Rattus norvegicus: one gene and its partner. The protein of the gene in region 2 purifies or fractionates together with the protein of the main gene of each other region. This does not show direct contact. Links are inferred from orthologs where the notes say so. Each region holds a gene or a part of one and is shown on either strand. Other genes may lie near its edges. The genes, in order: Srf and Myocd.

Region 1 (4,428 bases), on a different chromosome or scaffold from region 2:
CACTACTAAGGTAGTCCCTTGCCCAACCTGACTTCCTGCTTGGCAACAGTAGCGGGTTCTCAGGACCCTGGCCCCGGAGAGCTCCCTTCCTATTCCCAGCCTGCCAGGAGGGCAGGGCCAAACTACACCCCCGCCCCCAGCGGGGAGACAGCTGGCGGGAGGAATGCAAAAGCCTTGCCAGGCAGGCGGGCTGCGGGCGGGAGGCCGGCGTGGAGCCCGAACCGGCCTTATATGGGCACGGAGGCCGCCCGCTTATCTAGTGGGACAGCCTCCTGTCAGGAATGGAGGATGGACACCTGTCTCCTAGGATAAGGAACACTAACCTGGCCCCACTCCTCATCACTAAGAGTGTCTATGTACCTGTGTTAGTCCAAGAAAGGAAAGGGATCCCCCCGCCCCCCACATAGGTGACCAAAAACCACACCTTGGTTTCCCCACTGCTGTCAGATTCCGACACCTGGTAGGTGAGATCTGGCTCTTCAAAGCCAGTGGCACTCATTCTCTGGTCTGTGCTGGGGTCTGAGCGGGGTGGAGAGTCTGGCGAGTTGAGGCAGGTCTGAATCAGCGCCTTGCCGGTCTCACTGGTGATCATGGGCTGCAGTTTGCGGGTGGCAAAGGTATACACATGGCCTGTCTCACTGGCCACCAGCAACAGCACCTGTGTCCCTGTCAGCGTGGACAGCTCATAAGCCTGGGGAGTTGGAGGAGATGGGCAAGTCAGCGACGCTTTTCCTCTCTACTTCCCTGGGGAAAACTGTACGGTGATCTCTAGTGCTGACTCCTAGGATGACCTTCATCCAGAGACTGTAACAGGGTCCTATCTAGATAGCTCAAGGTGAGCTGGGAGCAGAGAAACCACGCATGTCCTGTAAGAAGCAGGCCCATTGCCTGCAGATATCCCAAGCAAACAGGAATAGCTTCCAGCAGGGATTGAGCATATAACCTCAAGGTGGACACACAGCCACAGCGGGCTATCCCCTAACACTGCTGGTGTATGCTTCCTCCTCACTGTCACAGGGGCAGTGAGGTCCCTACCACACTAGAACTCACACATCACATTTGTGGTAACAGCCACCTAACTGCCAAACTGCCCATGTTCCCTGCCAGAAAACTGCACAGGCTCTAACCTGTTGCCACAGCCTAACTTCTTTTACCCTGTAACACAACACTGCCCTTTTCTTTCCCCTTGGGATGGAAGGATAAGAAAGGAGGAAAGGTACTGTCTACCTTTTCCCAAAACCTTCTCCATGGTGATCAAGGGTTACTGATAAGAGAGAGCACCCAAAATGGTGAGAGCTATATTTGCAATAGATACTCTGCTATGAGAGCCCCAGCGAAAATGCACAACCCACCTTGGAAGCACTTGCAGCTTCGGCAAGGAACAGATGACAACACTGGTTCCCACCCAGGTTGTAGGCGGTTTCCCAGTCCCTCTGCTTCCACCCCTTCCCATCTCCTAGACTCCAAGACGTCTCCTATCACTATCCTGTCACTTTTGATAAGCTATCAGCTGGCAAGTGGTACCTCTACAAATCTCCCTGACTTTCCCCAACATTCCATGCACTGATTTGCTCTAGAGCTGGAAGCCCTACCTGTCCCAAAGGCCAGCGATTCTGCAGCGGGCCCTGGGGCAGCATGAGATTTCCACAGAACGCAACGGAAGACACATGGCCAGGGCGGGACTTGGTCCCAGCTTGCTGTTCCTCAAGGCAGTAGCAGTTCTCCCGCCTAGCTTCCTCACCTGGTTCCTAACCCTGCCTGTCCTTCATGCCCGCACAACTCTAGCGATGCCCACATTTCGTCCCACTCAAGCTCTCTCACTGCTGTCATCCAACTCCTGCCTCCTCATCTCCAAACCTTCTGCTCCCTTTTCCACCGCCCTTCCCGCACACCGGGACACAGTGGATCTGTTGATCCCCGCGTCTGGTTATCCAGCTTCCTGCCGGCCCCTGTTCACTCCTGTACTCTTCCAGGACCCTCTGTCCCCCGCGCGCTGGTCACTCCCACCCCGGCGCCTTTGCCCAGGATTCCGGACGTTCGCAGCATCTCCCCTCTCCCCATATTTCCCGGGCGGCCCCTCCCCTTTCGCCCGGCCTGGGTACAACCATCCCCTCCCACACACCTCCTGCGGACTAGCCCGCCTCTCACCTCCGCCTCAGCTCTGTCTCGCACCCGGGCTACCTTAGAGCTCACCCACCCTTCAGGTCCCCCCGGGGCGCGCCAATCTCCGGCTCCTGTACCTTCTTCATGATGCCCGTCTTCCTCTTGCTGAAGGTCGTGTAACGCCGCAGCTTGTTGTCGATGAACTCCATCTTGATCTTCACGCGGCCCCGGGTCTTCTTCCCCGGCTTGGCCCCGCTCACCGCGCCGCTCACCGGTCCGTAGCCTCCGGCGGCCGCCGCCGCCGCCTCAGGCCCACCGACCACCACACCGAGCTCCATCTCGCTCAGACTCCGCTTGAGGCCGCGCCGCTCGGCGCCCAGCTCCTCCTCCTCGCCGGACTCAGAGTCGCCCTCGCTGCCGCTGTAGAGGGCCCCGGCGGTGGGCGCTGCTGCTGCTGCAGCCTCCCGCTCCAGACGACCCGGGCCGAGCCCCGCGCCGTTCCCGGGGACCCGGCCCCCGTTCGCCCCGCGAGTCCCACCGCTGCCGCCCGGCCGCCCCGTCGGGGTCCTGTTCAGGCTGCCCCCCAGGGCCGAGCCCCGGCCCAGAGCCGCCGCGGCCCCAGCTTGGCTCGGTAACATGGCGCTGAGTGCAGGAGGGCGGACAGGCAAGTCAGCGAGGAATCGGGGCCGCCGCCGCCATCGGCTTCCCGGTTCCACCCGGCACTCCCGCTGCTGCTAAAGCCGCTGTCGCTGCCGCAGCTGCGAACCCGGGGCCCCTGCACGCCCGGGCCGACCTGGGCCCTCACTTTCCTGCCCCTATGGCCGGGGTTGCCCCAGGCCGCGCGCAGCGCCCCCTGTCCGTGTGCCGGGGAGGCGCGCCCTGCGGCCGTCAGCGTCCCCCGCGGGGCAGGGGCTGCTGGCCGCGGCCGAGACCGCGGGTGGAGGGGGCCGGGACCACGCGCTGGCGGCGGAGGTATCCCCCAACCCTTCCCCCCCCATATAAAGAGATACAATGTTTCCTTTTATGGCGAGGCCGCTCCTTATATGGCGAGCCCCAGCGCCCCCGCCCCATTGGTCCGCGCTTCCGGCACCTCCGCTCCCCATTGGCCCGAAGGGGAGACTTATTTGCATAGACATACCGAACTCGCTGCTGTCATCCCGCGTCAGACCGCGATTCCTTGGGGGGGAGGAGCCAACTCCTTAAAGGAACAGTGGAGCGGAGCCAGTTCCGCCCCCCTGTGTTGGAGAGTAGTGGATTGTTGAAACTCTCATAGAGGAAACCTGGAAGAGGACTGGAGGGCAGAAGAGGGAACCCCTGAATGGATTGGGGTTTAAAATAAATGAGAAAAAATACTTCCTAATTCCAGCGAAGGGGTTCAGGGATAGATTGGAGCGTTTCTCCCACCACTTCCTGAGGGAAGGTAAAGTGGTTGGAGCCGAGGGAACTTGTGTTTCGTCTCCGCTACCCCAGCGGTTCCACTCGTTCCCCTACTACACACACTTGCCTTTCCCTCTCTTTTCAAAGGATCAACACTTTCCCACAAGTCTGGCTGCGAGGTCACATCGTTCATCATCCTCTACACTGGAGGTGGAGGGGTGTCTTTGGCAGACACACATCTGGAGGAGGAGGAGGTACGGGGCGACCTCCCATCCACGATGGGGGCAGGGCGGAGAGTGAGAGGTCAGTGAAGACTTCCAGCTGCGCCTGTGCTGAAAGAGAGGGGGTGGTCTCGAGGATAAAGCAAAGGCCTGAAAGTACAGCGGGATAGAAAGTTTAAGCAAGGGAATGTAATCGACATTCCAGGTCCATAGGAGGATTTTTTTAAAAAAAGATATAAAGATTAAAACGTGGGTGTTACAAAGCCCAGGTTAAGGGTCTGAGAGTCTGAGTCTTTCTTCCAAGATAGAGAAAATATCGTGGACTTCTATGTTACTGAAACTATTTAAATCTGACCGGACTGTGTGGTGCACACATTTAATTCTAGCTATTCCGGAGGCTGAGGCAGGAGGATTACCCCGAGTTCAAGTCCAACCTGACCCACATAGTGAGCACCAAGCCAGCCCAGGACTACATAGCAAAACCCAGTCAAAAAGAAAATTATTCAAACGTGGTTAAGAGTTCTGGCTGCTCTTCCAGAGGACCTGGGTTCAATTTCCAGCACCCACATGGCAGCTCACAGTGGTCTTTAACTCCAGTTCCAGGTGATCTGACATCTTCAAAGACATACATGTAAGTAAAACACCAGTGCGCATTAAATACATCTAAAAAATTATTCGAATAAAAAGTCTGTCTACCTTTGCAGGCCTGTGCATGCAAACAAGTGAC
Region 2 (4,445 bases):
CACTGTTTACCAGGGCTCATCAGCATATCCATGTCCTAACTAAGCTGTTTGTGTTATCAGGTTTATCTCTTAAAAGCATCGTAAAGCCACCTTCATTATTTGGGTGTGAGGTGTGTAAGATGCAGAGAATTATGATGCTGAGAATTATAAAGGTCATGTAGCCCAAACCGAAGAGGCGATGTCTGAGAACCCAGCTAGTCTGACCGAGCGAGACCCTCACACTCAGCCAGGACACCCTACTCTGTCAGGTAAGGTTAATTCACATTGCCAATCATGTTCACAAATGTAAACATTCAAAGTCCCAAAGTCCCATGGCGGGTCAGTTAATCACAAGGCTACTTGGACAGAGTTAGTGGGGAATTGGTAAAGCATGGTTGCTGTCCACGTCAGTTTCAGAATGTGAGGAACTGCCTGGGGACTGTGGATGCGCCATCACGGCAAGCCCATTGCTATAACCGTAGAATAACTCACTTTCAGTCAGTTTGGAAACGTTAACTTTAGAATCGTACCAGGATCTACTGTTGAAGTGAGCATCATATAGGAAGTGAGCCATATAGGAATCTTTAGAGTTGGCAGTGGAATCCCTCAAGGAAGACGAGGGGGTGACTGGGAGGGAGGGAGGGAGGGAGAGAAATATATATAGAGAGAGATCAAGGTGAACAAGAAACCCTCTTCATTCACTGTTAGACACGAAGTGAAGCAAAGCCCCCTAGACAGAGGTAGTTCATACAATGCCAGTCAGGCCTCGGGGCCATATATGTCCACCGAGGTCACTCTGTCCAGGAAGAGTAACCAGTAGCCATCCACTGATTTACAATTATGTTTTTCTTGCTCTTGAATGAGATCATCAACCACGGCTCCTAAGATGCCCAACTTGCTTTGTCCGTCATAGATTCCAGCCCCCCACCCCCTGCCCCCAACACACACACTTTTTAAAATCAAAGATGGAGGATTAAGTTTCCTGCCTCTGCATCATGCTTTCCCAAACTACCTTCCTTGTGACACAAATGCCTGAAAAAAAAAGTGCAGTTGGATTTCTTCAGAGCTCTAGGATAAAGATTTGCAGGGTCTAGGTGGAGACCTCAGGCCTGCACAAATCCACTGAGATGGGGGTTACAGTGGTGCAAACCAAACATTGTCTTCCCTCCCCACTCTACTTCAGCTGAGGAATTCCTTGATAAGTTTGTTGTGCCAGCCCACAATCAAGGCCATCACCACATCTTTTTAGAAACAATCCAGCCCCTCTCTGTCCTTCCCTCTATCCCCATTAAACTGCATAGGAGCATTTGAAATAAACCCAGTTTCATGCAAAAACCAAAAATGACATCCTTGCTCCCTCAGAAAGGTGGCAGTATTGCCTTGTGGTTTTGAGCAAATTACCAAGCATGTGAAGTCTCTGATTAGCAAACTTACCACCTCACCTCAACATGGAAAGGACAAATATGTGTGACTGAGCCTGGTGGCTGGTGACTAGGAGATACACCCCAGACCTCCAGAGGCACTGTGGCTCCTGGTCACTTAAGCTCTTAAGTTTTCAACTTGTCTTACTGAGCAATCCTTTGAAAAACCCCAGAGTGTCCCCCACACACCTAAAGATCAGGAACAACTAAGGCAGTTATAGAGGCTCCTTATGGCCCATCACCCACTGCACACATTTTTTTGAGCCACTCATCTAAAGACAGACAATTGTGTGCCTCTTCAGAAGGGCAAAGAAAGGTGATTGAGAACGAGAGACACCAGCATCCAGCCAGCACCTGTTACACAGAAGGCTCCCACCAGAGCTCTCACCAAAATGTTCCTTCTTAAAGGGTGCTCTGTCATCATTGGACGGTTGGTTACCACCGTTATAAATGCAATAAAGTGCAAATCGAGGTCGCCCGGCCAGGATGCCAATAAGGGAACATTCTCCTGCATCTTCTGTAGGCCCCCCCAACACCCTTTCCTTAGACTCACCTCTCCCGAGTGTCCCTTCAGAAGTTTCTCTGTGTGCCACTAACACAACAATTTTAGGGAAAATTGTCCATTTATAAATATCAGATGGTTTGGGAAAAAATATTTGTGGCACTGGGTTTTTTTTCCCCCATGGTGATGTCATTTTAAATTCTTGGTGTGCTCCAAATTCGCTATTTTTACTTCCTCCAAGTGACTTTTTTGGGAAATACATTTGTTTGGATTAGCTACATGTTAAGTGACCCCTGGACTTCATACACAGTACTAGGCTCATCGTCTCAGCAGTTGTAACTGATAACTCGCCCACTCTCTAACTTCAGATCCTGCATTTGCCCATTTCAACACAGTCTCTTTTGGAGAGTCCCCTCAAAATTTTCTATTTTCTAGAATTTCAAATTTTTCTAATTTCATAAAGGAAAATAATGGTGGAATAAAGACATTGGATTATTCATAAACAAAACTCAAACTTAACACAGGTCAAAGGGAAGACATTTGAAGGCAGTCAGTCAAATACAGCTGTTCATTTTGGGGAAACAGAGCGAAGGCCGCCACCTCAGGCCCGAGGCATACATTGTAAAGCAGTTGAGTGGTACAGATGAAAAGTTTAAGGAGTGCTGAATGCCTTACTCTACCTGATCGGAACTTCCTTCTAATCAGCAAAGAGTGTTCAGACCCCAGGAGTGTCATGGTGAGTCTCAGCAAGCCGCTGGTCGCTGGCCAGACGCCCCGCTTTCCACCAGAAATTGGCTCCAGGGAGCCCAGAGGACAGCAGCTAACGACCCAGAATTCATCCAACTCTTGGGGAGCTCCCTTGGGCAGGAGGACACACAGTGGCCGCCAGTGTCCCCAGAAAACTGGCGCCTCCCCCCTCGCCGCTTGCGAGGCTAATTAACTCCCAGCAGGCAGGACCCTCCTCCTCTGAGGGTGGCCAGGAACAGCCGCATCCTAGGCGTTCCTGACTGATGTCATAGGCTGCCAGCGGTCGCGGAGTATCGCCACCACGCCTTTATGAAGGTCCCAAGTTTGCTATCTGATCCTCTTTACTACTGACAGGAAACCAGCCAATCAGGAGAGGCGAGCGGGGCCTGGGGACCAGGCGCGGCCCCAGGAGCCTCAACAGCAGGCTCTTAACTCTTTGCAGAATACTAAGCCAAGACTGCTTGCCCAGGCGGGAGTCTCTGCACTGACACCCCTAAACCGGATGCTCGAAGGCTGCAGGTGGCGCCCGGCGACGGTAGGAGCGTATCCGCTTGCCGTAGGTGTGAATGTCCCCAGTGTCCCCAGCCTACTGGGACTGCTCGGGAAGGCACATCCTCGGAACGCGCTGGAGCCTGAGCCAAGAAGTAGGGTCGGCTTGCAATTCCCGGGAGCACCCGCTTTCCCTCTGCATCCGAGCGGTGGTGCTTCAGGAGATGGATGCCTGGAGCAGCTATCGCTGTCTATGAGCGTCCGAGGAGGTGGCAAAAAGTCTTTCGCTGTGGTTGGATGCTCTCTTTGGGGACACACAAAGTTTGTGGCTGGGGACCAAGCCCGGAGGGGGAGTGTGTGCAAAAGTTGAGTGTACTATTGGGTGCTCAGCAGGGTCGCACTCGGTGGCCTGGGCGAGCCAGATTGGAAAGGCACAGAGATTTTTCACATCCCGCTTAATCGTGGGAAATCCACCGGGCACTCAAAGCGGCGCTGATGATGCATGTCTCAGGGGCGCCTGGGGCGACAGGGTGCCATGTGCGTCATTAAGTACAACAAATATTCCATCTAAGACGAAGACTTAGATATTTAAAAAAACTGAACTGCATACACACAACACACGATTTGCCACCATTTTCAACTTTATATGCACGTGGGCTCCCAAGTACAATTCTTTACCTCTTTGCTTTTGCTTCAAAGCTGTGAATTCTTGAACGGATCAGCCCAGGACAGGTGGAGGCCTAAAATAACAATATCTTTTGGGGCTAGTCTCTGCCCTGATCCCGGGGTCTTCTGCCTCCATCATCTGTTGCTGAAGACCCAGACCTTCCTTTTCCTCCTCCTCTGGGTTGCACCAAATGCACTTGAATCCCAGAATCAAAGTTTTCTGGAATAGGTAATGTTCTTCCTCACTGAATCAGAGAGGAGGCGGAACCCTTCTACACAACTTCCTCTTGTGAATAGGGTTGGGCAGCAGCACAGGCCTGCGACATGCTGCCTCCTGTGGTAGCCTGGCAGTGGCTGTGCATTCCACAAGCAGTGTTGAACTGGGCTGTTCCTGTGGGAACTTGCCACAACTGCTCTAACGGCTCACATCAGTCTGGACTCATTACTGTGCAGGTTGGAAGGCTGGGAGTCAGAAACAGGTCTCACTGGGTTAAAAATCAAGGTGTTGGCAGAGCTGTGTTCCCTCCTGGAAGCTCATGAAGAGAATCCATTTCCTTTCCCTTTCCAGCTACTAGAGGCCACCCATGTTCCTTGGCTTCCAGCCTGTTCTTCCATCCTCCAAAACAGAAATTGTGGGTCAA

What was found.
Region 1: the proteins of Myocd (region 2) and Srf purify together in Homo sapiens (affinity purification with western blotting; 3 studies listed by BioGRID and IntAct, with this or other methods). This does not show direct contact. The link is inferred for Rattus norvegicus from reciprocal best matches to the Homo sapiens genes MYOCD and SRF.

The regions. Positions count from the first base shown.
Region 1 is NC_086027.1:21,922,717-21,927,144, reverse strand, and holds the start of Srf (serum response factor), read right to left. Parts: upstream 3,070-4,428; 5' UTR 2,742-3,069; coding exon 2,241-2,741; intron 692-2,240; coding exon 425-691; intron 1-424. UniProt on the Homo sapiens protein: SRF is a transcription factor that binds to the serum response element (SRE), a short sequence of dyad symmetry located 300 bp to the 5' of the site of transcription initiation of some genes (such as FOS).
Region 2 is NC_086028.1:50,423,886-50,428,330, forward strand, and holds the start of Myocd (myocardin), read right to left. Parts: upstream 2,935-4,445; 5' UTR 2,638-2,934; coding exon 2,583-2,637; intron 1-2,582. UniProt on the Homo sapiens protein: Smooth muscle cells (SM) and cardiac muscle cells-specific transcriptional factor which uses the canonical single or multiple CArG boxes DNA sequence. Acts as a cofactor of serum response factor (SRF) with the potential to modulate SRF-target genes.